Linked DNA regions of Coturnix japonica. The protein of the gene in region 1 interacts with the protein of each later gene in a pairwise test. Links are inferred from orthologs where the notes say so. Each region holds a gene or a part of one and is shown on either strand. Other genes may lie near its edges.

Evidence for each region.
Region 2: the proteins of PAK5 (region 1) and ATPAF2 interact in binary tests that used the Homo sapiens proteins (3 or more experiments, as listed by UniProt). The two-hybrid records come from large-scale screens. The link is inferred for Coturnix japonica from reciprocal best matches to the Homo sapiens genes PAK5 and ATPAF2.
Region 3: the proteins of PAK5 (region 1) and CCNG1 interact in binary tests that used the Homo sapiens proteins (3 or more experiments, as listed by UniProt). The two-hybrid records come from large-scale screens. The link is inferred for Coturnix japonica from reciprocal best matches to the Homo sapiens genes PAK5 and CCNG1.
Region 4: the proteins of PAK5 (region 1) and TUBGCP4 interact in a two-hybrid assay, tested with the Homo sapiens proteins (2 studies listed by BioGRID and IntAct). The two-hybrid records come from large-scale screens. The link is inferred for Coturnix japonica from reciprocal best matches to the Homo sapiens genes PAK5 and TUBGCP4.
Region 5: the proteins of PAK5 (region 1) and INKA1 interact in binary tests that used the Homo sapiens proteins (3 or more experiments, as listed by UniProt). The two-hybrid records come from large-scale screens. The link is inferred for Coturnix japonica from reciprocal best matches to the Homo sapiens genes PAK5 and INKA1.
Region 6: the proteins of PAK5 (region 1) and FHL3 interact in a two-hybrid assay, tested with the Homo sapiens proteins (2 studies listed by BioGRID and IntAct). The two-hybrid records come from large-scale screens. The link is inferred for Coturnix japonica from reciprocal best matches to the Homo sapiens genes PAK5 and FHL3.

The regions. Positions count from the first base shown.
Region 1 is NC_029518.1:12,075,663-12,079,961, reverse strand, and holds part of PAK5 (serine/threonine-protein kinase PAK 5), read right to left. Parts: intron 4,276-4,299; coding exon 3,478-4,275; intron 1-3,477.
Region 2 is NC_029529.1:5,012,162-5,017,238, reverse strand, and holds the start of ATPAF2 (ATP synthase mitochondrial F1 complex assembly factor 2), read left to right. Parts: upstream 1-1,960; 5' UTR 1,961-2,282; coding exon 2,283-2,382; intron 2,383-2,754; exon of another isoform or gene 2,755-3,079; coding exon of another isoform or gene 3,080-3,155; intron 3,156-3,358; coding exon 3,359-3,403; intron 3,404-3,737; coding exon 3,738-3,883; intron 3,884-4,311; coding exon 4,312-4,409; intron 4,410-5,077. Other genes in the region: GID4 (glucose-induced degradation protein 4 homolog), read right to left, coding at 1,605-1,817. UniProt on the Homo sapiens protein: Plays a role in the assembly of the F1 component of the mitochondrial ATP synthase (ATPase).
Region 3 is NC_029528.1:9,005,808-9,010,773, forward strand, and holds the start of CCNG1 (cyclin-G1), read right to left. Parts: upstream 3,344-4,966; 5' UTR 3,159-3,343; intron 2,889-3,158; coding exon 2,625-2,888; intron 1,765-2,624; coding exon 1,511-1,764; intron 944-1,510; coding exon 865-943; intron 780-864; coding exon 681-779; intron 462-680; coding exon 270-461; 3' UTR 267-269; intron 1-266. UniProt on the Homo sapiens protein: May play a role in growth regulation. Is associated with G2/M phase arrest in response to DNA damage. May be an intermediate by which p53 mediates its role as an inhibitor of cellular proliferation.
Region 4 is NC_029525.1:18,420,095-18,424,393, reverse strand, and holds part of TUBGCP4 (gamma-tubulin complex component 4), read left to right. Parts: intron 1-380; coding exon 381-431; intron 432-861; coding exon 862-967; intron 968-1,301; coding exon 1,302-1,409; intron 1,410-1,648; coding exon 1,649-1,787; intron 1,788-2,231; coding exon 2,232-2,409; intron 2,410-3,310; coding exon 3,311-3,445; intron 3,446-3,643; coding exon 3,644-3,760; intron 3,761-4,009; coding exon 4,010-4,149; intron 4,150-4,299. UniProt on the Homo sapiens protein: Component of the gamma-tubulin ring complex (gTuRC) which mediates microtubule nucleation.
Region 5 is NC_029527.1:1,347,424-1,351,737, reverse strand, and holds INKA1 (PAK4-inhibitor INKA1), read right to left. Parts: upstream 2,652-4,314; 5' UTR 2,563-2,651; coding exon 2,512-2,562; intron 1,678-2,511; coding exon 883-1,677; 3' UTR 835-882; downstream 1-834. Other genes in the region: UBA7 (ubiquitin-like modifier-activating enzyme 7), read left to right, coding at 224-426, 595-709. UniProt on the Homo sapiens protein: Inhibitor of the serine/threonine-protein kinase PAK4. Acts by binding PAK4 in a substrate-like manner, inhibiting the protein kinase activity.
Region 6 is NC_029538.1:3,109,169-3,114,211, forward strand, and holds the start of FHL3 (four and a half LIM domains protein 3), read left to right. Parts: upstream 1-1,728; 5' UTR 1,729-1,860; coding exon 1,861-1,867; intron 1,868-5,043. UniProt on the Homo sapiens protein: Recruited by SOX15 to FOXK1 promoters where it acts as a transcriptional coactivator of FOXK1.

The DNA.
Region 1 (4,299 bases):
TTTCCCAGGAAAGGGCATCTCCACGTTTATGACATAACATACGTGACTCCTGGCGGCAGGTGGGGCACTGAGGGGCTGGGGGTGGTCAGGCACAGGCTCATGATGTAGCACGATTACAAATAATTACGGCAATGAATTCATTTAATCAATCAATTTCCGCGGCGGCCCACAGAGGTGGACAGCGCAGCAACCCCGACACAGCTCACGGCAGCTACTATTGCTGCTGGCTGCCGGCCAGGAGTCCCTGATCCATGTTAGTTAAATGCACATTAATCTGAATTTGGCAGTGTAATCAAGGACCCAACTGAACTGTGAAATTGAATTCTGCGCTGGAACATCATTTGACCGTTTTATGCGAAGACTGCAAAAAAAAAAAAAGAAAAAGAGAGAGAGAGAGAAGAAAAAAAATCTGCCGCAGCATCAATCTATCAGTGTAGGCTGCTGCACAGCGAGGAGGAGATTCTAGCTGGAGTCACTCGGTTGTGGGGAGAAAAGCCTCGGAATGAAGAAGAGCAGCGCTGTATCAGCGCTTCTGGGCGCTGCGTGTGAGCCGGGCATGCCCCTGCTGTCCTGCTGGGGGTGAGCAGGGCACAGGGGATGCCTCTGTGTGAGGGCTGTGCAGGCACTTCCATTGGCAGCGTGCAGCTGGAGGCGGCTGCTGTGTGAGCTCCCAGCCACACGGTGCCCGCATCCAATGCTGGCAGTGTTACACGGCCGCCTCCTCGGCTGCTGCTTCTGTACGCGTGTGACATACAAATGCTTACGGTTGGGATTTCACTTATGCAGCTGTGAGATAGAAGGGGGTCGGAGACATCGTGTGTTTCGTGAAGGACATGACAGCTGCCCAACTAATTAACACAGCAAAGTGCTCAGATGGTTTGGTGGAGGGAGGGGAACTCAATCCAGACCTGTCCTATATATCTACGTACACAGAGCCACACAGATGATTGCTCTGACTGCGAATACACCATTTTTATATCAAGATGGGGAAAGCCCAGTCTAAAACTAAAACGAGACAAATCCACACCAATGGACCACCACAGGGCGTCACCCACAGCCTCTCTTTTCTGAGCATGCCCCATGTGTTGGGACAAGCAAATTCCGCAGTGAAATTATAGAAGGAAAACAGAGATGTTCAGCGCCTTTTTTGCAAGCTTTCTGCAGCTCGTGTTTCAGTGTATCTGCAGTACAACCATTCACTTCCTGCAGACCATGCAATGTTACTGAAGTAGGGGAGCCCAAGTGACTCCATCAGCCTCACCTCTCCTCAGCTGTGCCCTCACACAGTTCTTCACAGCGTGGCAAAATTGAGCACACTTGATTCTGCTAATAATGCCATTATTCCTGCTATTGGGTGCAATTACCTACCAAAAGGCAAGTCTGTAAATACTACAAAGGAAAGTGAAAACCAGCCCTACTCTCATTCAAGATGAGGTCAGGGGAGCACATGAAGTCACAGCCCTGCAGTGCAATGCGACGTGCTGCTGCTCGTCTGGCTGCAGCCTCACTCAGGTCTGTGCATGGCCACCTCAGCAGCCAGGTATGACACAACATGTCTGAAACCTGCTGCCAGAACAGGGCATGTATCTCATTTATCTGACATCTGTAATAATACCCATCTGCACCTACTCTTCAGATTTACAAGTCAAAATGCACATCTTTGTTAAATGCATTTTGAAGCCCTACGTTTGTGCCTGAGGACTTTTTCAGTGCTTACTTTTTCCCCCTTTTAATTATACTTTAAAGCCAATTTCATTTGTACAATATCTGATTTGAGACTCGATTCTCACTTAGTAAACCCATTAAATGAACCATTATCTTACTAATGCCTCCTTGAAAAGCAGATTCCTCAGCAATCATCCAAGACACGAAGCTGCTATTCACTTCCAGGAGTTGCGGATGGGTTTGGGAATTGAAACTGCTGTGTTTAACAGTGAATCATCAAATTTCAATATACCGAGGCTACACGAGTGCTTTTGATGCTCCAAGGAGAGCAACGGCTCAAAATGAATCTTGCACGAAGGCATCTTTTTCTTTAATAAAAGTTGTTACTGCATTTTAATGGGATATTTTACAGCATCTGCAATGCTCCAAGTCCTGTGAAATACACCTCTGCCTTCCATCTTACTGAATGCTGTAAATCTGGCAGGAGCAGGAACAAGAGAGTTTATGAATTATTGGTGGATTTGTCCTTCCTCTTTCTCAGCAGACAAAATGATTGTTTTAAAAGAAAGAAATGGCAGGCAGCCCATCCCAAGCTTTCCTCACAAACTCCAGAATCTGTATTTTAACACAGCTAACAATGTATAGGCATCCCTCCCAGAAAACCTAAGCAAGATGCAGGCATGCCTCTGGTATGAAGCCATGGTGTATCTGCAGAGGTCTGAGATGACATCTGGGTCTGACCAAGTTCTCAGTGCACAGAGGCTGTAAGAAAACACACTGTTCAGACACCATCATAAGCAGAAGGGGTATCATCGTGTGACAGCTACCAAGCTCAGCACATCTGGCAAGTCACAGCAATGCTGCCTGTTGCTAAGGGAACCCAGTAACATTCAATGAAATCTACACCAAAGGAAAAAACATCTCTTGCAGAATATTAAATGTTTAAGCAGGTCTTTTTTGGAGCAGTGTGACTTGATGGAGAAGAGATTCCTTTAGCTGAACAAGGCTGCAAGAAGGTAGGGTAGGGTATGATAGTTTGCTTGGGTAATATTCATGCAACTTAGAAAAGGCAGAGAGAGCAACAGCTTCTGCAGAGGAGCTGCTTGTAGATAACACAGCGGAGCTGCTTTCCTATCTTGACCCTTATTTTTGTTAACAACTACTGGAATGTCTTGGGTGCGAGGAGACACTTGGATTTTATTTCACTTCTTAAAAATTGAAGAGGTAAGGGATAAGTCCCTTCCCTCATTGGTGGGAAAGGGTTAATGAATCTCATAGTACACACAGAGCACTGTCAGACTGGTGGCTGTGTGGGCTGGTATGAGCTGGCTGAGCTGCAGGCAGCTCCTCTGCCTGACAGACGTGCTGGGATCGTGGCCGTCTTTCCTCAGCAAACCAGGAACGGTTTTCTAACTGGCACAGAGATGTCAGCAAGAACGACTCAAATACAAGAAGTACCTGACATTCAAACCAGACCAACTTCCCAGCTCTGCCAACATTTGCATTAGCATACGAACTCCTAATCCCATGTAAACTGCCACAGAACTTGGGATTTTCAGAAATCCCAAGTAAAACTCATGGAAGTTGGGTGCCTCCAAACTGTTCTTTGAATAAGTATCTTAAACCTCTTGTTTTCAGTTACCCAAGTAAACCTGGTGGGATTTTATATCCACCTAACCATGGTTGCATGCTTCCTACCACTGTGTTTCCAAGCATAGATCCATGCCCTTAACATTTTGCTTAATTTTTTGCATTCCCATTTTGGAAGGGTCCCTGTCCTGGCAGTACCCACACCAGGGGTCTTAACATTACCTTGGAGATGCCTGCTGCAGTTTCAGACAAGCGAGGGTAGGTGTAGGAGCTGTAGGAGTGTCCCTGCTGGTGTGCTTTAAATGCACTTGCTCCATAGGGCATGGCTGGCTCCTGCAGACCGGAGCCTGACCTGGACCTCTGCCTCATGGTTGGCTGAGGACTCGCTGGGTCCACGTAGGATGACTTGGGCCTCTTGTCATAGTCATCCTTGGCTGGGCTGTGCCCCCATTCGCCGTCACTGTACTCCAGTCTCTCCTTGGGGCATTCGCTCTGCACTGACGCTCGGGACAGGGCGTAAGGGAAGGGGTCTCTGTAGTCCAGTGAGGATCCACTGGGAATCCTCTGGTACTCCAGCTTTAGACCTCCATATTCAAGTGGTTTGGGCATCGTCTCCACTTGTGCATGGTAATCCGGAAGGAACCTGGAGAGGTCTGATTTCAGGGGTGTCATTTCTGAATAATATATGTCCTTGGAAGTGACTTTCATCATGTGCCCGTTCTGCTTGGCAGCGTAGCCCCCTTTGTAGTACCTGTCTAGCTCTTCCCCATAGAGAGTCTTGTCTCTATACTTATCCATGACATAGTCTGTTGTTGTATCTGACTCACTGGAGTACTGTGAATATGTGATGTAACCATTTTCCTCCTGGTGCCTTGGCACATGGTTTGCATTGCCTTGGTGGTGTGCGGGAGGACTTTCCTTCCGCAGGGAGTTGGATCGAGTCACGGAGATATTGTCAAACTCCTCGAGCAGGCCATTGATTGAAGTATCCTTCCGAGGCTTATTTCCTCTAACAATAGTCTGGAAATAAAAAATTGCTTTGAT
Region 2 (5,077 bases), on another chromosome or scaffold:
TGAAGCAGTGGGATGCTTCTGCTCTGAGCGCTTTTCAAGCAGGGGGATTTTCCAAGCCTTCCCCTGACACCTCCAGATTGGTTTTCAAAGCAAGAAGCGAATTATTTAGGGAAGTGCAAACATCAGCTGTGAGAAGATGGCTCTTCCCCACCTGTGATCAAAGAAAAGCCACATTGCTCTGCGCTCAGTAACAGGGAGAGCAGGCAGCCATCTCTTCTCATCTGACACGCACAGAGCAGCGTCTTTAGCACAAAGATAGAGCCAGCCTCTGCGAGAAAGCAGCATGCAGTGAACTAAACAGCCATAGGATGTCTCCGTCAGAACAAACTGTAGTGGGTACAGTCATGCTGTTGACAAGTAGAAGACTGGATGTGAAAGCAGAGGGCACAGTTCACACTGCCCCATCTACTGACCCTGGGGCTCTGACTTTGCTCCCCAATGCCGAGCCATGCACCAGGCTGCAGCACTGCTGCACACCCAGCCTGGGTGCCCCGATCCAAGAGACTCACAGCAGGAACAGCGCTGTGATTTGCTACAGGAAAACATGCATCAATGCCTGGCTTCCCCATGCACTAACTCCACACCTCTACCCAAATTGAATGTGCCAGCACCTCTGACTAAAAATAAAGCACGCAGGGTGACAGTGACTCCAGAGAGGATTAGGAAAGCCCCATTCTGCAGAACTGTCTGCTCACATTCCCATTACAGCAGAACTGCTGCACCCCTCCCCTGGTTCCTCACGCAGCCACTGGCACCATGGGATGAGGAACACAAAGCCCAGCACAGGGACCTGGATCCCTGCTGAGTTCCAGCCAGGCCTGAAATACAGGCTGTCCCACTGCTCGGGACTTCCTGGGCACCTCCCAACACGAGGCAGGATCCCACCCTTCCTCATGGCAGCCCAGAGGCACACGGGCACCCCAGGCCTGAGGGGAACGAGAAGGAGAGTCCTGCTGGCAATAGCAGGACATGGGGAAATGGTTTTAAGTTAAAAGAGGGAAGATTTAAGTTGGATGTCAGGGGGAAGTTCTTCACTAGGAGAGTGGTTAGGCCCTGGAACAGGCTGCCCAGGGAGGTTGTGGATGCCCCGTCCTTGGAGGTGTTCAAGGCCTGGTTGGACGGGGCCATGGGCAACCTGATCTATGGGGTCTCTATGGGGATCTATGGGGTCTCCTGGGCAACCTGATGTAATAAATGTGTATGTTTGGTGGCCCTGCCAGGCAGGGGGTTGGAACTACATGATCCTTGAGGTCCCTTCCAACCCGGGTCATTCTGTGATTCTGAGAGCTGCTGTTAAGTATCTCAGCAGCCACAAGGAGAAAAGGGGCAAAAGTGTGAGAGGAAAAGAGAGGAAGGACCCCGGGTCCCATCAGCCCTGAGGGGATGGAGCAGTGAGGGGCAGTGAGAGCCGGGTGGGGGCTGCAGGAAGGGCCGGGGCTGCAGGGAGGAGCTTATGGAGATGGGGGGGATCGGGGCCGGGCGGAATCAAGGCGAGGGGAACCCGGACAGCGGGGAGCAGAGGGGAAGGAAGGGAAGGAAGGGAGGGAAGCAGGGAAGGCCTGAGGCCCAGCGGGGCCCTGTGGGCGCCGGACACGGTCCCTCACCTGCATGACGACCTCCACCTCGTACGCGTTGCCTTTACTGCGCTGCTGCCCGCGGAACTTGGCCCCGCTGTACAGCAGGGATGTGGCCACTCCGGGCTGCGCCGTGTTGATGGGAGGCGGCGGCACCAAACTGCTGGCGGCCGCTCCGGACGGAGCCGATGATGCCGGTCCCGCCGCTCCGCCCGCTCGGCCCCGCTCGCTGCGCACCGGCATCTCGGGGGGGTCCCCGGGCGCCAGCGTGGCCGGGGCTCAGCGGCCGCCACCGGGGCCGCGCTCCGCTCCGCTCCCCTCACGCCCAGGCCGCCGCCGCCGCCGCCTGGCTCGGGGCCTCCCGGCAACGCCCCCGCGCTCTCCCATTGGCCCTCGCGAAGCGGCGAGAAGGCGGGGCGGAGCTCCGATTGGCGGAGAGCTCTCCTTCCCGGCAGGTTTTACGGTGAGGAGGCTGCTGGGAAATGTAGTTTGTTCGCCTCGCGCCTCACGCGACGGGAAGGCCGAAGGGGCAAAGCGCGTTCTGTGCTCCCATTGGGCGGAGCGGGGCAACATGGCGGCGCCCGGGGCGACAAGCTGAGCCGGGGGAGGCCGCTCCGAGCCGGGGTAGGCCGCAACGCTCCAGCTCCGTTCGCCGCCCCTCATCGTTCCTCTCGGCTCCTCATCGTTCTCTTCGGCTCCTCCGCCGCCATGTGCCGCCTCCTGCAGGCCCTGGGCCGCATCCCGGCTGTGGCAGCCCGGAGCCGCCCGCTGTGTCCGGGTGGGAGTCGAACATACGCCCCTCCCGCAGGTGAGGAGCTGTGGGCCCCGCGGGGAGGAGCCCGGAGCCCCGTGTGAGAGCGGGGGAACGCGGGGGGTGTCGGTGTGTGTGTGTGTGGGGGGGGATTAGTGGGAGCCCCCTCCTCAAGGTCAGCTCTTGCTGGCTGGGGGAGGGGTTGGGTTCCGGCCTTCAGAATGGGCTGAAGAAAGGAGGAAGAGGGAAAATGGGCTCCGAGGTGGGTAAGGAGGTGGTGGGGCGTCACTGCGCTGCTTTTCCATCAGTGGGTTTGAAGGTTCCCTTTGGTTGCGGGTGGGATGGCGGGGAGCTCCACCAGCCCCTCCCAGGCACGTGCTGGGCTGTGCAGCCCCTCTACAGATATTGCTGGAAACACGAGGATGGGAGTCAGGGTTTCATTGAGTATCATGAGGCCAATGGGAACACGCTGAGGTGCCTGAATCCTCCCAGAGCTGTGCTCCAGCACTGCAGCATTTCCTGAGGCCCTGAAGCTTGTAGGAGGCTGAGTGGATCCCCATCCTTCTCTCTGCTGGGCCCGTGTTGGCAGGGCACAGTTCAGTGACAGCCAGGAGGTGGATTCAATGGGCTCAGCATTTACGAGCTGGTTGTAATTGTCAAGGGAATCTTCTGGGTGAGACGTGTGGGCTGCGGTGAGCTGAGGACAGTGGTTCCTCCCCAGTGACTCAGCTGCCACGTGCAACGTGTCTGACACATGATCCAGTTGCTGCTGCACATAGGGTTCATGGTTCCTCCAAGTGGTGTCTGCAAGAAATCTGCTCCTATGGGTGGTCAGGAGATCTGGGGCATTGCTGTGGATGTCACCAGTATTGTGACACCTCCCAGGTTGAATAGAACTCACTGGAATGGAGAGGGGCTTGAATGAGTGGGATTTTGTGGCTGTTCTGTGGGCTGCAGCAGCTCTGAGGGCTCCCTGTGTTCTGACAAACCTCCCCTTGCCACCCTTTCAATTGCTCTGTTTTCAACCCCCCAGAGAGGAAGCGGTTTTACCAGAACGTGAGCATCTCACAAGGAGAAGGTGAGTGGAGCTGCTGGGGCAGGCGAGGGCTGGTACTCACACGGGGGTTACCATCACAAGGCAGTGCTGTGTCTGCAGCCCCTGTTGTGAGCTGGGCTGTCTGTCACCCACATGCTCTGCCCTTGTCCTCATCCATAGTAAAACCATGTGGTGGGAAAGTTTCCAGCATCATCTGGGGAAGAGCAATGTCAAAACATTGATGTTGGTGGGAAAATTGCTGATTCCTTGCTCCCTTCAGCTCCAGCTCTGAGCTTGTTCCCTCTATGGGGTAGTCTGTTGTTCCTTAGTGCCTGCTCCTCTTTAATTCCCCAGGATTTCTACTCTGATTCCCCAGGAGGCTTTGAAATCAACCTGGACCACCGGAAGCTGAAAACACCCCAGGCCAAGCTCTTCACTGTCCCCAGTGAGGCCTTGGCCATTGCAGTGGCAACAGAATGGGACTCTCAGAAAGACACCATCAAGTTCTACACTATGCACCTGGTGAGCACAGCAGGTCAGAGTGCTGAAGCACAAAAATGGTCTCCAGAGGCAGAACACAGAGAGAGACCAGGCTGTCCTAATGTCAATTGAAGTGGGAACAGGAGTTCAGTGCCTTGGCTGAGTACTGTGGATAACTTAAGGCTGAGCAGGCAGCTGGATGCTGGCTACAGGACTGGGAGGGAAACCCGTGTCACTGGGGAGTTTGAGAAGGGGATGGAGAGCATTTCTGGGGATAGCAAGGGGTATGAACAGGTTGGATAGACTCTATTATATGAGCCATGTTCTGACTCTATGTTTCCCTCTTAAGTAAGCTCCTTGATTCTTGCAGTCTGTCCCAAATTCTTCTGCTTATCTTGACCTAGTACACTGGAAACTGCTGCTTCCTTGAGCTTTAGATAACAGTGATTTCAGTTGCCTTTATCCTGCAGACCACACTGTGCAACACAGCTCTGGACAATCCCACTCAGCGAAACAAGGTGCAGCTGATCCGTGCAGCTGTGAAGTTCCTGGAGACTGACACTGTCTGGTAAGGGACTGCGGGATGCACTGGCACAGAGGTGGGGTTGTCTTGTTGTAGAGTGGTTGAGAGAACTGAGGGAAAATGTCTGTTCTAACCAAGTCATTGCAGGGCTCTGCTCTGTCCTGGCTTTGGCCCAGGGGTTTGAATTAGTTTAGACGAGTCCTATGTCCACCAACCTAGTGGAACTCCATGCATTTAAAGGGCATAGATACAAAGAACAGGGACCTGTTTCTTTGTTGAAATCTGTTTGGAGATGTCCATGTTGGACAGGGAGCAGGAGCAGCAAGAAATGTAGTGGGAAAAGCAAAGAAAGGCTTGGGAGAATGTCAGCTCAGTCCCCTGGCACTCCAGTAGCATAAAGGTGTAGTAAGCTTAGATTACCTGTACTAGTAGTAAAATGCCCTTTGCTCCTTAAAGCTCCTGTGGGTTGCAGGATCCAGCCTACCCAAGCTCACGTCTCACAATCTCAGCCTCTGAGGTGTCCACTGGCAGCTGCTTTGCTCCTGAAGGGAGAGGGAAACCAGATTCACCTCACTTTTTGTGGCTTTGTTTGTGTTGGGCTGGGCAGGGCGGTGGCTGGTGAGTGCTAAGCTGAGCCACTGGGCGTGCAAGGCAGCAGGAAGGGCCCTGTGGGATTTGTCCCATGGATCACTAAATCTTGCTGCATCCCTTGG
Region 3 (4,966 bases), on another chromosome or scaffold:
AGGTTCCAATGTCTGTAGAATACTTTTCTGCTCCCAAAGTACATCAAAGCATCAGTTCCTTTTCCAGTGTTCACGTATTAGGTAGCCACTTCTTTAGGTACATCACAGGCTCAAGCATGAACATGAGAACAGACCAGCCTCTGTGACAGGCCTACTACATCTACGTTTACATCTCCAACAGGTTACCTATATGGACTAAGAAACTTTGAGATAGTTAACAGCTAATTAATTCTACATTGTGAGAAGCTGCTTTTACAGGTTATTACCTATTACGAGCTGGTTTCTGGAATTGTAGGAAGGTGTGTTATTCTATAATAGCTATGTTTAAGCTGCCGTGCTGTACGTCCAGACACGATCCATTTTAATTTCTGGACATTTGGTTTGGAACACTTGCTCGAGGAATATTCTGTAAGGCACTTCAACACCAACTCCTTCCAGAAGGTCAAATCTCTGTTGTTTATCTAAATAGTGAGACAGAATCCATATGTTACTAACTCATTACATCCTTAAATTACATATGCATTTTTAGCTACTTAAGATAAAAAGCCAAACATCTCAAGCCAGATGGAAGATAAAAAGAGGAAAATAGAAACCAGCACATCAATAGAACTCCCCTCCCCCCAGCGAGAAAGCTTTCACATGCATTTTTATTCCCACACCCTGAAAAGCTTTATCCATACCTTGGACTGCAACTGCAGAAATTCCAGTGCCTCTGTCAATTCCAGTAGTTTTTGTTCTTCTATCTCTAGTGCCAGAATAGACAGTGCTAAGACAGAAGGCTGGAGAGAGAAAGATAAGATGACATTTTTGATCTGCAACTTTAAAGTTTCTCCAGTCTCACCAACCAGCTTACAAGAAGTTTACCTTAGCTTTAGAAAACATGATTCTGCAGTGACATGCCTTAAGCTGGGTCTCAAGTCTCTCAAAATTAAGGTATCTCTTCCTGTAATAAAAACAGATAAGTCACTGTTGCACAAGAACACAACATTTATTAAGACCACTCTTCTCTAAACAAGGGCCTCATTTGTACCAGGAGAAGAACTATTTTAGTCAAGCAGGTGTTAAATTTTGACAGTCTTCATGCCCAAAATAAATCTTGCATTACAGTGGGAAAAACAGCATTATCAAAATAGATTTAGCACAAGGGAGCTTCAATGTTAACTACTAAAAGGAACATTTTTCTGAAACCCTATTTTGAAACCTTTGCAGTAAGGCTTTACAGACATAACATTCTTACACTATCACTGTTGAGTAATTTGTTTTGGGACTTAGAGAACAACACTCATTTAATGACTTTATACAACAACAAAAAAAAACATTTTAAGATAACATTACACCTCAGTATTCACATTAATATTAAGGAGGAAGGTTTTATCCTGTTTTGTTGGTTTTTCTTTTTTTTTTTTTTTGAATATCCAAAGGCCAATTACTTGACTAAATCTGCTTGTTTTCCAACATAGGCTTCCTGATCACCTGCAGCTGTTAACAAAATAAGCTTGAGATATTTTACCTTTCACAGCTTAAATTCTCATGAATGAGCGAGTGATAAAGCTGTAGAAACTGGAAGGCTGTTGTTGCTTTGACTTTCCAAGACAGCTTCTCCAATACGATTTTCTCCATTCTCATCATATCAGAAACAGTGAACCTATACTGGCTTATTCGAATTAAGTCGGTGGCTAAGGGAACATTTCTCTCTTCTTCTGTCGCCTTCACAGCCAGGTAGAAGCAGCTCAATCCAACACAGCCCAAGTGTTTAGGCTGTACCTAAAGAAAAGTCAAAGTTTTTTGTTACTTTTAAAGAGGGAAGCCTTAAATAAACCATTTCAATATGCAAGTACCAAATTATATGTTATTTTAGGGGAAAAAAAAAAAAAAAAAGATTTGGTAGAACTAGTTTCTTAATGAGGTTGTGTAGGACCTAAAGTGTTGTACATATTGGCTTATCCCAAGAATTTAGTGTATATACATATATACACACATATGTATGTATGTATAAAAGGGAACCACAGAGAATCTGTAAGGGCATGTTTTGGATTCAGAAGTCTCATACTCCACCCAGCCTTCTGATTTTTAAGGGACATACTAACATACAAGAAAGTCAAGCATTTGTCTTGGACTAATTGGAATAGCAGTAATCCTGTCTTGTTAAGACAAATAACCCAGGTCAGCATGCCAAATACATGCTAAAGAACAGAATGCTAGCTAGACACTCATTTTACATGATTAATAAATGCTGAACAGTATCCCAACTCTTGTTATACCTAAGACACACTAGTGGGTTTAAACAGCAGTAAACTGTGAGGTAATTCAGCGTGTTCTTGGGTATGTGCAACAGGCCAGACAGCCTGTCTCGATCTAAAGCAATAACGCAGCCTGCATTTCCAAGCCTACGGGCACCCTCAAGTTGGAACAGACGCCCCCTTCCTTCTCTTCTTCAGAGGAAGCATCTTTCTTAGCACTGCTGAAATCCAACCAGGGAAAGCCATTTTTTAAGCTCTGCAATCAGGATCTGGGGAAGGAGCTTAACCTTTAGCCATCTAAAAACAAAGCAAGACCTTCTACATAAACAGGAGCAAGGTCGCAGCGAAGAGAAGCTAACGAGGTTATACTTTAAACAGCCATACCTTCATTTTGGACAAGAATCTATCTAAGAAGTTGACAGCCAGCGAGAAGGTCTCCGTGTGGAAGCCGAAAAACTGAGTTAAGCTGAGCAGATCCTTCACTTCAAAGTCTCGCAGCCTGGCGGTCATTCGGAGCCCGTTATCATGGGCAGCCTCGATCAACCTCAGGCCCGAACCTTTCGGCTGACACCGCACCTCCTGCTCCAGCAGAGCTGTGAGTTGGTACAGCAGCGCGCGGGCATCGCTGCTCACGAGCGTCTCGATCATCTGCAAGAAGAAACAAGTTCCAACGCAGCCCCACACACACACACACACACACACACTCACAACACCGAACCACCCCGGGCCCGACGGGGCCGCGCACGCGCCGCCCGCACAGGACATGTCCGGGATAAGCCCGGGCCTGTCCTCATCCACCTCGGGGCCGCACCGAGCGGGTACGAATCGCCCACCGCCCCGCTCTGCACCGCCAGCGATGCGGGCACGGCGCGGAGAAACCCGAACCGCCGGCTGTTGGGTCCGACTCCGTGCCCTTACCTTGTGGCCGCCTCACTGCTTCCTTCTGCCGGGGGAAGGTCCCGAGGCGCTGCGCGAGCCTCAACCCTTACACAGCCCCCACTCACCCGGGTGCCGACCCCCACCCGCACGGTGCCATAAACCCGTCTCGGCTCCGCTCAGTTACACCGCCCCCCGCTCCGCTCCGCCCGGCCCGGCCCACCCCGCGGGGCTGATTGACGTTCAGCCTGCTGTGCTGCTCTGCAGCTCCATCTAATGGCGGCGATGGAACATGGCCGGTGTTGGAAGGCGTGCACGTGGAAGGTACTTCGTCTACTGAAACTTTTTGGGGTGTTATTTCGGATGTTTCACTATTTAGATCCATTGACTAAAAGCAAATGATCCCTTGTGGTGTGTGCTTGTGGAAGTGTTCGGACTAAGAAGTAAGGCAATATATATATTAATTTCCAGAAATGCCGTGTGAATGTAGCCTTCCAAGTGAGTGTTTTTGTTTGTTTATTTGTTTTGCTTCCCAAAGAATTGCACGCTCTGTTTATCAGATCTGGGTGCTTGAAAGTGGACTTCACTGTATTTACATTTATTGAACATCAGGATTTCATTTGTTGGATCGTCGATCTGAGTTGCTCAGAAGTTTTTCTTTTGTTGTAAACCTTGAAATGTTACAAATTTCTGCTTCATTTCTTGATATATTTGCCAGACAACCAATGGTCCCACGGCTTAACTGTTGCTGTTGGACTCTTTCCTTGATTCAGATCACTAATAAATGTTTTTTCCTGTTTTCTCTGAGCCTTCTGATCCTCCTTCAGAGAATACAGGAAGGTTGGCCTGGCAGGAGGAGGTGTTGATTCTTTGTTCTGCCATCTTGTGCAGCACATGTGGATGCCTGAGGCACTTTGTGTGCTTCTTTGTGTTGAACCACGTGTTTTTACCTCAACCCCATGAGCCTGTGTCTGCTACTCGGAGATAATCTGCAGCACTTTTGTTAGCTGATACTTTGCATCCCCGTGTTTCTACAACAGTCATTCGTTCATGTAAAGTAGAATAAGGAGCAACTGCTGAAACCATGCTGCTTCTGCATGCTGAGATGAAAAACGCTCATAGAAGCCATGCCACGCTGCGCCATGTTGTATCTTCAGGCCTCTTGCAGTTAGCTGCAAAAGCAACAGAGATGCTTATAAAACTGTTTCGCACATCTAAGTAAAAATGTCTCAAAATCACTTTTCTTCATCAGCAAATACTTCCTTCTTTCCACTTGTTTTACAGCTTATACTAATTTAAAAGGTGTCCTGCTTCTTCAAGAGGAGGTTTCTCAAGCTGTGTTGATCTCAGAATTTTCTACTTTGTTATTTGGGCAACTATCATTCCTTCTTAGGTCAGAAATCTTCTTTATTTTAATTTAATGTTGCCTGTAGAAATCTAAGGAATGTAGATATTTATTTTTCTTTGCTAATGTTTTTAAGACTTCACTGCAGGCTCCTAAGTTAAACCATGACAAATTTTAACTAAAATATAAAAACTAATATAATAAAACATAAAAACGTTTTAGATACGTTTGAGAGAATAAAGTGGAATTGAACTATCGCAGAGCAAAACATCTGCATGACCATATTCTTTATGACATGCTTGTCAAAATGACTTGCAAGTGCATTTGCAATGTCATTGGATATCAAATAAACTTAATGTGCTCCTTGCATCTGTTGTAGTTATGGAAATAAATAGGAGGCATTACTTTTGGAGCACCCTCTGTATTTTCCTAGCTTTACAACCTTTACGTTGATCCACTCTCTCACTATAACTCTCACTGTAGTTGTTGTGCAATATCAGTATAT
Region 4 (4,299 bases), on another chromosome or scaffold:
CAATCAATTAAAACAGGAAGGTGAAAAAAAGTAGGTAGCTTTTATGCTCTTACCAGGTTTAGTGTCCTATCATTCCAACTTCTAATGATACAAAGACTTCAAATAGTACCAGTCATCTGCAGGGAATTTTAATACAGTATTATAGTATTCATATAGTATACATAGTATTTAATATAGTATTAATATAGTATTGTAGTTAGTAGCATGGGTTGCCCACCCAGGAGTCATCTTAGTGTCTTCCTCTTTTGTTTTATATAACATTTTATATACGTGCATTTTAAATTTATCACTAGTATTTTAAGACAGTTACTGAATTCTATACATTAAGTTTATCTGTAACTAAGGAGATTTCTTGTTTGTTTATTCTGTTTTCTCACTAGCATCTTTGGAAACTGATGGTGGAGGAATCTGACTTACTTGGACAACTGAAGGTAATGTTACTGTTAACTTGTTTCTGCAAAAGTAGCTTAAAATTGCTGGTGTGGGATTTGCTTTGTTTCATTTTTTTTTAATGGTCCTTTCCCAGCAAATGCTTTACTGTCTTATGTTTTATACTTTCTTCTTTTAGGTAACTCTCTTTTCATTTCCCAAGATCATGAGTACAGTGATAGAACTTAGTCAGAGACAGAGTTAAAGGAGAAAATGTATGTGGTTTTGTGCTTTGCATCTCAGAGATTCATTTTATTGCTTGCAGTGCATTGCACTGTAGACTTTCTGGCCACTGGATGAAGTTTACAGCTCTCCAGCTGTGTTTTGAAATGGCAGAAATTGTCCAAGTAATCAAAAAGCATTACCAGTTATAATGCTTACTCTTTCTGCTCAGTTTTTTATATGCTTACATATAAAAACTTTTCTAAACAGATTATAAAAGACTTTTACCTTTTGGGAAGAGGCGAGCTGTTTCAGGCCTTCATTGACACTGCACAGCACATGTTAAAAACACCACCTACGGCTGTAACAGAACATGGTGAGTGCTGATTACTCATCTACAAAATGTCCTCCCTGTGCTCTGGCAGGAAAATAGTAAAGTCCAGTGCAGATTTCCTTATCTTATCCTCTGAATGTTTTCATTAGTTTTGAAAGAGCAGTACTTCTGAATTACAGAATAATGCACATTGGGCAAAAATAACATCTTTCAGTAACTTTCAGATGATAGCTTTCTCTCCGTATTGAAGAGCGAAGTTAAAGTAGTGAAAGTAGTGTTGGTCTTTTATGGCCCAACGTAAATAATTAATAGGTGCAAAATAAGCACTGTCCCTATCTTGAGTTTTCTGTTAATATTTGTGTTTTCTCTCTATCAGACATCAATGTTGCATTTCAGCAGTCTGCTCATAAGGTACTGTTAGATGATGACAACCTTCTTCCTTTGCTTCACTTGACCATTGAGTATCATGGAAAGGAGCATAAAGGTATCTATTTGAATTTTTAGTAATGAGTTAAGAGGGATTATGACAATGACCTGGTTTTCAAAATCCTACTGCTCTCATGTGGATTTAAGAAATATTAAATTCTCTTCCTTAACAGCCCTGTGTGATACCCTAGTTTGCTTTTCCTCTTCTTGTTCTGTTCTTTCCCCTTTTCATTCTTCTCTGGAAGGCTTTGCCTTGACTGAGAGAAAGACGTAACTGAGCACCTTATCTGTTTTCAGATTCTTCTCAGACTCGTGAAGGGACTTCCCGAGAGTTATCTCCACGTGAAGCTCCTGCATCTGGCTGGGCAGCTCTGGGCCTTTCTTACAAAGTTCAGTGGCCACTGCATATTCTCTTTACTCCTGCTGTTTTGGAAAAGTAAGTACTAAGTATTGTCTTTGTGTCTGGAAGCTCCCTGATCTCAGGCTTTTTTCCCTTATAGAGAGCATATAAAAGGTATCTACCTATCTAAAGGTAGAGCTTTAGCACCTGAGCTTGCTCACTGAGCCTTACTCTTCCTACTTAGCAATGTTGAGGTTACTTGTTGCAGATGAGGCCATGGCTGAGCTGTCAGCAAAACAGATCTGTCAAAACTTCACCAGCTCTTTTCTGGTAATGTTAGAATTTGTTTTGTTTTTTTTTGTAATCAATAACCAATACAATCGAATCTGTTACTGAAATTGGCTGCTACTTCATCTACCCTGTCTGTTGGCAGGCAACTATCTGCCATTTCTCTTTCCAGTCTTACACTGTTGTGTTCTCCAGTACCTGTAATCAAGAAAGAGTTCTGTCCTAAACAGCTTTGTTCTTTTTTGACTGTAGGTACAATGTTGTGTTCAAATACCTGCTCAGCGTGCGACGGGTCCAGGCAGAGCTACAGCATTGCTGGGCTCTCCAGATGCAACGTAAACACCTGAAATCTAACAGAACTGATGCCATCAAGTGGCGTCTGAGGGACCACATGGCTTTTCTTGTGGACAATCTCCAGTATTATCTCCAAGTGAGTATTAAACAGAGTTGAACTTGTATCACTTAATTGGGAACTGACAGAAATCTAGGGTGGGAGCTCTGAAGTTTTAAACTACAACTTTCTCCAAGTTCCCGGATTCAGTGCTACAACTGTACAGTTAGTGGATATGTGAATCAATAGAGTTTTAAGTATTAATGGAAATGCAAATGTTTCTGGCTCTCTAGTGCTATTAAGGAGCTGTGAGAAGCCCCACTTACCCCTGAAGCTAAATCAATAAGCTGCATCCTGTCTTGGTCCTTTGCCCCTTGAAGTGAACTCTACTTTGTTGAGTAACAGTGAGTTCTTTTGGGTGGTTTTGTGTTTGTTTCTTTTAGTTAGGATTTTTTTTTTTTAATTGAAAGAAGCCATGTTCTCAGTTTCAAATCCCAACAGTAGTTAGTAGTAGCATAATTTTGCAAAAATCAATTTGTTAATAGCTACAACAGTGGAATCTAGGGGGTCTGATTTTCAGGCTTTCTGGAGTAATGGCTCAAGCCTTTGCCCTGATGAGCATATTATGCAGGCTTTGCCCATTGCTGGTGAAAGTGCATAGTTAGTGGTGGTGACTGTATTGAAAAACAGTGCTTTGTAGCCGTGAATGTGATTTATCGTACAGAAACAAATAGATTGCTCCAAAAGTCATGCTTCCTAAGTACTTTTTTCACTAGTTAGAAATTAACTGTTTTTCTGCATTTGGGATCAGTTCTTTCCTTATTACTGTACTACTGTTGTATATAGAACTCCATTAATGACGCAGATAGAAATCAATGCTCAGCCTCTAATATAAGGGTAGCGGTAGGGAAAGCAAATTTCTTATACAACTTCTAGCTGGTCTGAGGTATTCCTATTCTTCTAGGAAGCTGTTAATGTAAACTCTTTGCATATTCATCAGGTGGATGTACTGGAATCTCAGTTCTCACAGCTTCTCCAGCAAATAAATGCCACACGAGATTTTGAGAGTATACGACTGGCTCATGATCATTTCTTAAGTAATCTGTTGGCTCAGTCTTTCATCCTCCTAAAGCCTGTAAGTAGATCTTGTTTTCAACTCTTTTTCTATAAGTTGTTTTTTCCTCAAGAAAAAGGGCCTTGGTGACTACTGAAAAATATGGCATTAATATCATCTGGATTATGAATGCTTTAATTTTCAGGAACTAAAAACAAACTTCCTCTGAGGCTGAGCTCTGTATGTAATTGGTAACCTGTACTTTTTTTCCCTGTACAGGTTTTCCACTGTTTAAATGAAATTCTGGACCTTTGTCATAGTTTTTGTTCTCTGGTGAGTCAGAATCTGGGACCGTTAGATGAGCGTGGAGCTGCACAACTCAGTATTCTGGTGAAGGTGAATGTCTATTGATATGGTCTTGTTCATCTCCCTTGCAAACAGCTAAGCTTTAACTTTACTCTTGTTCTACGCTGAGATCAGACCTTCTGTGTGGACACTCAGAATTACTTGAATTAATCAATATCACCTTTTGGCTGCACCTAATTGTTTCGGCTCACAGGTTACCTTATAGTAGACCTCAAGCAAAAATCTTTTGCAGTGATACTTTTGAGAGGCTTTCCTGAACAGGTTTCCTGTAATTTGTAGGGGTTCAGTCGTCAGTCGTCGCTGCTCTTCAAGATTCTATCTAGTGTTCGAAACCATCAAATAAACTCCTACTTAGCACAACTGCTACTACGTCTGGATTATAACAAATACTACACACAGGCTGGAGGCACCTTGGGCAGGTAGGAATGGCTTCAGTGGCACTTGCAGAATTATCCTGGGGCACGTGAAATATAAAGCATGCTACACACTTGTAATTAAGCAATGTTGATTTTTCTGTAGGCCAAAATCAGTGGAAGCAAGATGCTACCAAGCACTGTGATAGAGAAGTA
Region 5 (4,314 bases), on another chromosome or scaffold:
TCCTGCACTGGGGCTGCAGCCGGGGTCACCAAACCCCGGGGGCCAAAGGCACAAGAAGAGGCGATTGTGTGGGGCTGGGCTGCTTGTCAATGGGGCTTTGTGCGTGGATGGGGACAGTGGTGCCGGGGGGTGGCTGTGTCCCATTCCAACTCCTTGTCCCCTAGCCCCCTCTTCTCAAACCCCTGTCCACAGCCCTCATCCATGCGCTCTGCTCCCCACACAGTACAGGGGGAAGGAGTGGAGCTGCTGGGACCGGCTGGAGGTGCGTGCTATTGGGGAGGATGGGCAGGCGATGACAGTGCGGGAGCTGCTGGCCTGGCTGCAGGAAGAGTACGGGTGGACCGTCACCAAGCTCCTGCATGGCAGCACCATGCTGTACGATGGGGAGGAGGATGAGGAGATGCGGGCACGGCAGCAGGCACAGAGGTAGGCAGCGGTTCTGGTGTTACAGGGCCCCCATCTCTCTCCTGCTCTGCTCCAGCTGCAGGGTAAACATCCTGCTGCCGGCAGCGCTTCCCCTGCTGGACCCCCGCCGGCCCCTGGCCATGGGGGCTGGGGGTCCGGCCCAGTGCAGAGTTTCTTTCCTGCCTGCAGGCTGTCAGATGGCGTGCAGGGCTCTGCAGAGCTGCAGCAGCTGGAGCTGCAATACGTGTGTGCCGGGGACCAGCTGGAGGACGCCTGCCCCCCACTTCTCTGCACCCTGCCCTGAGCCTGCGGGGTGCCCCGATGTCACCGCCTGCCCCACGCAATAAAAGCCATGGGATAAGCTGTGTTACGAGCTCCCTGCGTCGCACCCCCTGCCAGTGCTGCACCCCACAAAGGCGGCCGCGTCCGTATCGTACAAAACGGGGGTTTATTTACAGCGGGGGGGGCATGGCGGAGCTAGATGTAGCCGATGACGTCGTTGCAGATGATGGGCTGGCGGCTGCGGCTGTTCATGAGGGCGGTGAAGCGGTGGAAGTCCGTGGCCAGCTGGGCGATGTTGCTGTGGGACTGATGGAAGCAGGCTCCCTTGGGCTGCCCGCCCAGCCCCAGCGGGCACGACAGGCGCTTGGCGGGGTCGCGGCCCCCCGGCCGGGCTCCGTCGGCTCCTCGTGGCCGGGCCATGCTGGCCAGCTTGCGGCGCACGTTGCCCGAGAGGCTGAGCAGGAAGGCGGGCGGTTTGCCCAGCCGACGCGAGGGCTCCGCGGTCGGTCGGCGTCGGGGCTCGGCGCCCACCTCGGGCAGGTCCATCCAGTTCTCCACCAGGTCGGCGAAGCAGTTGTCCCCCAGCACCAGCGGCTGCCGGTTGCGGCTCTGCGACAGCAGCGACACCGTCCAGTCCCTCCCGTCGGCCGGTTCCAGCGCCCGCCACTGCTCCAGGCAGGCGTCCGACGTGGATTTGGGGCGGGCGCGGCGGGCGGGGGCGGGCGGGGGCACGACGGCGGAGAGTCGGTGATGGCGCAGGGAGGGCGGGGGCGGCCGCCGCAGCACCGGAGCTTCGTCCTCGCGCCACGTGCCCCCGGAGGCCTCCGAGTAGCCCGAGTCGCACTCCAGGCTGCGCTCGCTGGCGGGGGGCGAGCGGGCGGCCGGGCCCCGCTGCTCCTCCTCGCTGCAGGCGGAGCCGGGCCGGCGGGGCGCGGGGCGGGGGTCGTGTTGTGCCGGCCGCGTGCCGGGCATGTGCTCCCGGCGGCAGCGCTGCGGGGAGAAGGGCGGCTCAGCGTCGGGCCGGCGGCGGGCGCAGGTCCCGGCTCGCCCGCGGCCCCGGGCCCCGCTTTCCCGCAGCCCCGGCCCGGCGTGCGGCGGCATGTCGGAGCGAGCGGCGCCCGGCCCGGCCGTGCCTGCGGGAAGTGACACGGGGCCGAGGCACGTAGCAGCCCCGCGCCCCCCGCCACGGCCCCTCGCCGCCACGGGGCGCCCCGATGGGTGGGACGGGACGGGACGGGGCGACGTCCCCAGGGAGGGAGCTCCGCGCGAGGGCTCCGGCTGCCGTCGGACCCGCTTCCCCCCCGGCTTCGACGCGACCCGACCGCACGGGGCCGAGGGGCGGCGGGGGAACGGGGCGCGCTGCCGAGCGGCAGCGGAAGGAAAGAGCCCGGTCCCCGCGGCCGGGCCGCTCCTCTTTCTTGAATTCCTATTGTCTGAGCCCAAAAGCTGCTGCTACGTCCGCTTCCCTCTCTCGGATAGCGGCCCGTTCCGCGTCCCGTCCCGCCGCCCGCGGAGCCGCACGCCCGGTGTTCATTCCCCCGTCCCCTCTGCCCTGCCCTCACGTCTCTCTCCCCTCGCCCTCTCCCCGGTCCCCGCCACCGCCCCGTCCCGCCGTGGGGCGCTGGGAGGGCTCGGAGCGGGAGGGGCTCGGCGGGTCCCGGCTCCGCCGGTGTCGGTGCTGCGGCTGACAGCTGCCGTCCGTTCCCCGCCGGCCTCGCGCCCCCCGCCCGCGTCCCTGGCTCGGTGCTCCCACGCGTGATGTCACCGCGCTGATGTCACCCGCGGCCCCGCGCCCCGACACGCCGCGACCCGTCCGGCACTCACCGGCTCGGCGCGGCGCTGCCCGAGGCCGCCGTCCAGACGGGCGCTGTGCATCCCCGGCCCGGCCCCGCTCCCGGTGCCGGTGCCGGTGGCGGAGCGGCCGCGGCCCCGCGGAGCAGCGGAGCGCGGCTCAGCCCCGGCCCTGCCCGCCGCCTCCCGCCGCGGCGCCGCCCCGCCCGCCGCAGCCAATGGGGCCGCCGTAACGTGAGCCCGGCCCGTACCGGCACCGGCACCGCCCCGCCCCGCCCGCCGCCCCGGGGCCCCGCTCGGCGCGTCCGGACACGACCCGCGGGGCGAGGCGGCCCCGTTACCGAGGGGAGGGGAGCGGAGACCCGCCGCCCGCCCGCGCCTGTTAATTGCCGGCTATTAGCCGCTCTGCTTTGCTAATGAAGGGTTCCAATTAGCCGCCCGGTAATTCAGCCGGTCCCACGGAGCGCGGCGTGGATCGGCGGCCGCGGCGGGGTCGTGACCTGACCCCCCACCCGCCCCGGGGCTGGGCTGGGAGCCGCGGTGACCGGCGTGACGCCGCGCGTGGGTGGTGCCCGACGCCCGTGGCAACGAGCTCCGGCTTGTCCCAAACAGCTGCCAAACCATGGGCACGTACGGACACCTCACCTGCCTCCTCTTCCTCCTCCTCCGTGCCCCAGGTAGGCAGCCCTGGGCTTCAGCCGCACTCAAAGGAACCGAAAGAAGAGGGACGGGAAATGGGGTCCTTTGGGTGCCCACCCCAGGATGGGCACAGGGGGTGGCGGCTTCAGAGTCTGGGATATCTTGGGGGCATCACTGGGCACTGCAGGGGCAGCCTGGCAGGCTGCAGTGACACTGTGCTCTTTGCAGGGACCTTGGTAAAGGCAGCAGGTAAGAGCGGCGGTGCCACCCATACCCCCATGGGGACAGGGGACAGGACCCGGTTCCCTGACAGCCATGTGAGCTGCTGGTGGCCGTGGCCACACGATGCCAACCCTGGGGTGTCCCCCCAGCCCTGCCCGACCTGCCTCGCATAGTGACACTCAGTGAGGATGCTGCGCCGGGTGCCCGTGTGGCCGAGGTGTCTGTGTCCTGCAGCAATGCCAGCAGCAGCCCCCACGTCACACTGCAGCACGTCGAGTCCAGTGCCTCCAGCGTCACCCCACGCAACATTGATCCCAACCACCCCTTCAACCCCATTGCAATCAGTGCCGATGGCGTGCCCGCTTCCACATATAGGGCAGAGGTACGGCTGGGGGGCAGGGAGTGGGGCTGGAGCGTGTGGCACCCCACTGAGTGCCATGTCCCCACACAGGTGACACTGCGAGCTGGCGCAGAGCTTGATGCCCACAGGGTGAACTGGTACATGCTGTTGCTGCGCGCTGCCTGTCCCGGGGAGCAGGAGGTGACAGGGAAGCTGTACGTGAGGGTGACATCAGGACAGGCGCTGCGCTGTGCCTTCCCGTTTGCTAGTGCTGGTGGGGACGTGGTGCAGGTGTGGGCAGACGTGGCACCCCGTGAGCTCCTGTATGCGGTGCAGGCACAGCCACCGGGTGGGCTGACGGTGAGTGCCAATGCCCTGCGTCCTGCTGCCTCCCAAAGGGAGCAGACCCTGGGGACAGCACGGGAATGGAGTTCTGATCTCTCCTCTGACAGTTCCAGCTCACAAATAGTGGCACTCCACTCACACTGACCCGTCAGGGCCTGGTGCTGGCACCCGATGGTGGCTTCAGCCCCAGCAAGGACACCCAGGTGGGCACGAGTCCCTGCACGGGCAGCACTGTCACCACCACCCCTGGCACCACACACTGTGTCCTGCTCCCCCCAGGCAGACCCCAG
Region 6 (5,043 bases), on another chromosome or scaffold:
CCACAGCTGATGGCAGGATTCCTACGTAGCACTTAGGATACAAGGGTGGTGAAAAAACAACAGGGAGGAGACCCCGAGCTGTCTCTGAGCTCTATTGTCAGAGTGGAGCTCCCAGGCACTGCCCCGAGCTGCTTTTGTTGGGCTTTTGACCTCACCTTCGAATTCCACTGCCCTCGGTTAAGGAAGAAATGGTTTTAATGGGTCTTAAGACTTAACACAGCCTGAGCTGAGGTGTAGCCCTGTGTGTTACATTGCTGCGGTGCTGTATTCCAGCTTCTTGCTTTGAAAGCCCAAAGTTCCAGTGCTGGGAGCTACACACAAAGACTCCTCATTGCTCAGGTGAAAGGTCTGGAGCCCAGGTTCAGCCACAGTGCTGGGTCTGCTCACCTCAACCTTTCTTTCCCCCCTGCTTCTCACATAGAACAGCTTGTGGGCTCTGTTTGGATATAGATCTGTAGCATGCATGAGTGGACGTCATGTTTTCCATGCTGCTGCATCTCAGGAGGAGAAGGAAGCTTTCTGGTTCCGTTGCTGGCCAGCAACGTGGATCTTAGTTCCTTTTTTAGCCCTGCCAAGCTTGCCTTGTGCCAAAAACCTTTGAGGTGCAAATCCCAGGAGGGAGATAAAATAGCTCCGTGCCCTGCAGGTGTTGTAAGGGTAAGTAGTGCTCCTGCTGGTGACAGCTGCTGGGGAACTGACCAAGCAAGAATCCTGTGAGAGGAATGGGATGTCAGGTCTGTGGAAACTGAGCACTCTGGTGTTTATGGTCTTGCACTGGGTCACCATATGTACTTGTGTTGTTTGTGATGGGATGTCAGGGAGTTAAACCTCCTTCCAAGCAAACTAATCTTCAGTTTGTGTCCTGGGTGAGGGTTAGTTACTACCTGCCTCTTTTCCAAGCATATTAAACTTCAAATAGAAAAGGCAGTAATTAAAATCTAAGACATTTCGGTGGCTAACTTTAGCTCAGTGAACACTTTTCTACTAAGAAAACTGCTGTGATGCCTAAACAAGAGGTTTCTGGAATATGTGAAGTGTCAGAGGTACTTATTGAAGTCATTAATAGCAGAAAGTACACTGTGTTGCATGTAACTCAGCCAAGAGAACTTTTATTTCTAGTATTTCTCAACCCTGTGCAAACATCATGTAATGCACAGGAAGATTAATTCTGGCCTGTTGGGCTTGTATAGAAGTCTTGGATGTGTTGCTTTTGGAGAGCCTGAGCAGCTGTATGTGGAAAATCAGAAATGCATTTCATGTTGGCAGAGGTGTTGGACCATAAGCACACACTGCATCATGCTCTGTGCTCCGAAACAATGACTCAACCCAGGAGTGATGAAATACGTGCTGTCAGATCCTTGATAACTCTGAGCTTTAATTTCGGAAGGAGATGCAGAGCAGAACTTGGAATAAGAAGGGAAAAGAGCAGTCCAGGGATTTTGAACAGCTGGGCCCCAAGTGGATGGTGCTGTACAAATTGCACTGACCCTTTCCAGTGGAAATCAGTGAGCGCTGCTGTCTTCAGGAGGTTGAGAAGCAATTTATATCCAACAAATTGGAATCAGGGATTCCTGCGCCCTTTATGAAAATATAGAGTAACTCGAATTGTAAGAGTCCAATTTCATGTCACAAGTAATGAAATCTGAACCTGTGCAGGAAATAAAATCCCAGTGCTGATGTCACCATCTGGTTTATGATGTGGCTGCTTTTGTTCCTGGGCGAGCACTCGAGCGTTCTACAAGTGAGGTGCTTACAGGACAGAGTCCCTTGCACTGCACCTGCTGATAGTGCCTGCACTGTGAGTCAGTGGGAGCTGCCCCAGCACATCCCCAGGCTCTGCACAGATCCTTCACTGCCACAATGCAAGGTAACAACAGCCTGGAGGTTTGGGTTCCAATCTCTGCCAGCTTGGGGCACGTTGACTGTGAGTAGATTGGTTTTTGGTCTGACCTACGAGGAGAGCAGAGGGAGGTTTGTTGGGTGCTGGTGTTTTCTTGCTGTAGTGAAGCCCGATGTGCTGGAGTGCAGGAGCATGCAGCCAGCCCTGGGAACTCTGCAACTCTTGGCAGAGAGCAGCTTGCTATTGCTTCTTCCTTCAGGGACAGAGTGTGGAGCATCTCCTCCACAGCAAAGAAATGGGACGTACTTTTGCAACCTCTGCTTCATGGGCTGAGACATCAGCTCTTCTTTGTGTGGAAGTCTTCATGTAGAAGTTTCGAAGAGTCCAATTTTGGATCTATCCCTTTTTATGTGGGTCTCCTTGTATATCTCAGATTTAAGCATGATTATGAGGTTCTGTGAATGAGCCACAGGCCTGGATCAAAGGCTGGTTAGTGTTACTCTTTCTTATCTCTGTGTGTTTGTTCTGCAAAGGAGCACTTTTCAGCTGTTCTTGAGTTTCTGGGCAGTCAGCAAAAGTACTTTGCAGTGGCACCTGCCAGCAGCAGGGCTTGGGGCTGTGGCTCCTCCACACACAGGAAACTCCATGTTTAGTGTGTTAGTGATGTAGAGGCATTTACGCTTTATTTTGTGAGTGCTTGTGCCCGTTTATAATAGCTGCTTTCACTGTATGTTTTGAATGTGGCAAGTCTTCCCTTTCAGAAGTACCACCAAAGACTGCATCTCAAAGTATGGCAGGAACTGGAAAGCATGTGGGTTTCTGCACATTTATTTTTAGTGCTTGCAGTGGGTTATTTCTTCGAGGTTTTATGTAGAATACACAATAATCACAACTTCTGCAGCTTAAAGCGTGCAGCACTAAGGGTCTAAGTGAGAAGTGCTTTACCAAGGAGACTATTGATGAGCAGATCACCCAGCAGAGAGATGATTAACTCTAGAAGGTTGAAACTTACTTTATGTCTACATTAGCAGGAGAATGGCTCCAGGAGACCTCCCTCTTCCCGTGCCATGTCCTTCTTAGCTTGGCTCGCTGTCCTTGGGAGTGCTGCCTTTTTAGGGACGGCTGCAGCTGGCACATGCAGCATCTCCCAGGCAACAGAAGATCTTAGTTGTGTTTCGGACCACAGGCGAGTGGTTCTTGGGATGGTAACCTGAGACAGTTTGTCTTTGCCAGGATTCAGTCCTTCCCTAGAATTAGAAGTGCTCACATGCTGCGGGTTACAAAGCTGTAATTGCCTTTGCTTGCGAGGGACACAGCAGCTGTAAGAAGTGTGGTAGGCAGGACTGCAGGCTGTTGCACAAGAAGTGAGGGCAGAGGCAAAGAGGTCCCTGGCTGGTGATCAGACAGCAAGAAGGCAGCTGCATGGCATGCAAGTGGCAGTGCAGTGTCTCCCCTATCACCTTGGCTTCTGCTTTGCTCTGCTGGTTTTGTATGCAGATGCGGTGCCATCCACCTTCCTCAGCATCACTGTTATATAGGAGACTATGAATGCTACAGCTTGGGAGGCAGGGAATTGACTCAGAAAGAGAATATTTGGTCTGGGGGAAAAAGAAAATCCTTTTGCCCTTGAAGCAATAGGCAATTGTTAAATAAGATGTGTGTTCTAGATGTCTTTTCCTGCTCCTGTAGATCAAAGTTACTTTGTGTATTAATAAAGCATCAACAACGAAAACTGAAGTTGAATGGATCCTTAGTCAACTAAAGGGCTGCCAGGCTCTCAGGTGAAGGTGATTAATAAGGGCTGGGCTCAGACCATGCAGGATTGCTTTTCAGCATAGATGCACAACGCATGCACATGGCTGCATCTACCCCTTGCAGCCTGTCCATGGGTTGATTTTCATGCATGCTTAGAGACAAGCTTGAGGCTCCTGTGCAAAACAGAGACGTAACCTTTTATTCAGGGACTACAAAACGCTTTGTAAAAAGAAATTTAAATTATTCATTGCTTCTGAACTAAGAATGGCTTCATCCTCAAAACAGCTAGAGGAAACAAAAACTACAGCACAGAGCTGGAATTGTAAGAGAACATTAGGGAAATAAAGCAGAATGCCTTGGTTTTGCAGTGATGTCTGCACCCCATAGCAAGCACCTCGAGCAGCCTGATTCTTTTTTCTGCATGGAAGCTGTGGTGTCTGTTTGTATTGCAGGATCCTTGTGTAGTGGGTAGATCTAAGACGAAGGTAAGTTGGCCTCAGTGTGCAGTTAGTCATTTCCTGTCATGCTTTCATGTTTGAGTTGTAGTGTATTTGTTTTGACCTTTATTTCTTGGGGCAAAGAGGTTTTGAGACATTGTTTCTGGAGCCTTCATCCTGCAGTTGGGTAAGCAGTTAGGCGTCTGTGTGGCCATGGACCAAGTCAGCTGGGTTTTATGGTCATCAATGTGGGGCTGGTTGGTTTATTGGTCTTATTGTGGACGTATATTTGATATACATTTGTTTGGTGGAGAACTCTGCCTCCACGCAGGTGCCCCATTGTGATCCTGATAGGTTGGGACGGGGCTACAGCACACAGAGCAAGAAAAGCAATGCTACAACAACGAGGTAACACGAGGCCCACAAGCACCAGTTTGCAGTTTCATCTGCATTTATATATACCCTCTTTATGACTTTCTAGTTGAACCCTCATCCAGTTACGATCCCCCACCACCTTTTCTTGTCCATCACTTTGTAACGACAAGGGCAAAGGAGGCTTACTGATAGATTAATCCACCTCTAAGCAACAGGCACTTTCCAGATTAGCTCCTGCCTGGACCTGGTATGAAACCTAGGGGCTGGAGGCCAGCTGCTGCCCGTTAATTTGTTTTGATGACTATCTTTAGGGTTTGTTTGTGTTCTCTTGCAAGTAGGACACTGGTAAGCATACGGTCTGCTCAGTGCATCTGAAAGGTTTATTCAGCCCTGCGTAATAAATATATTCCTTATTCTTGCCTGATTTTCTAGTTGAAAAAGGAAAACAAGGGGAAACTAAAGAAATGTGTGGATTTGCTACTAGCAGGTTCTCCAAATGGGAACGGCCAGGCCCATCTATCTTAATAGCACTGCAGTTGAGGCCAAGACTCCCTAAGCATGGTGCCTTCAGTGAGGCAAGTCTAAAGACCGTGTGTGCTCTCAGCATGCATGTTTTTGGTATCCCTATTCCCATAA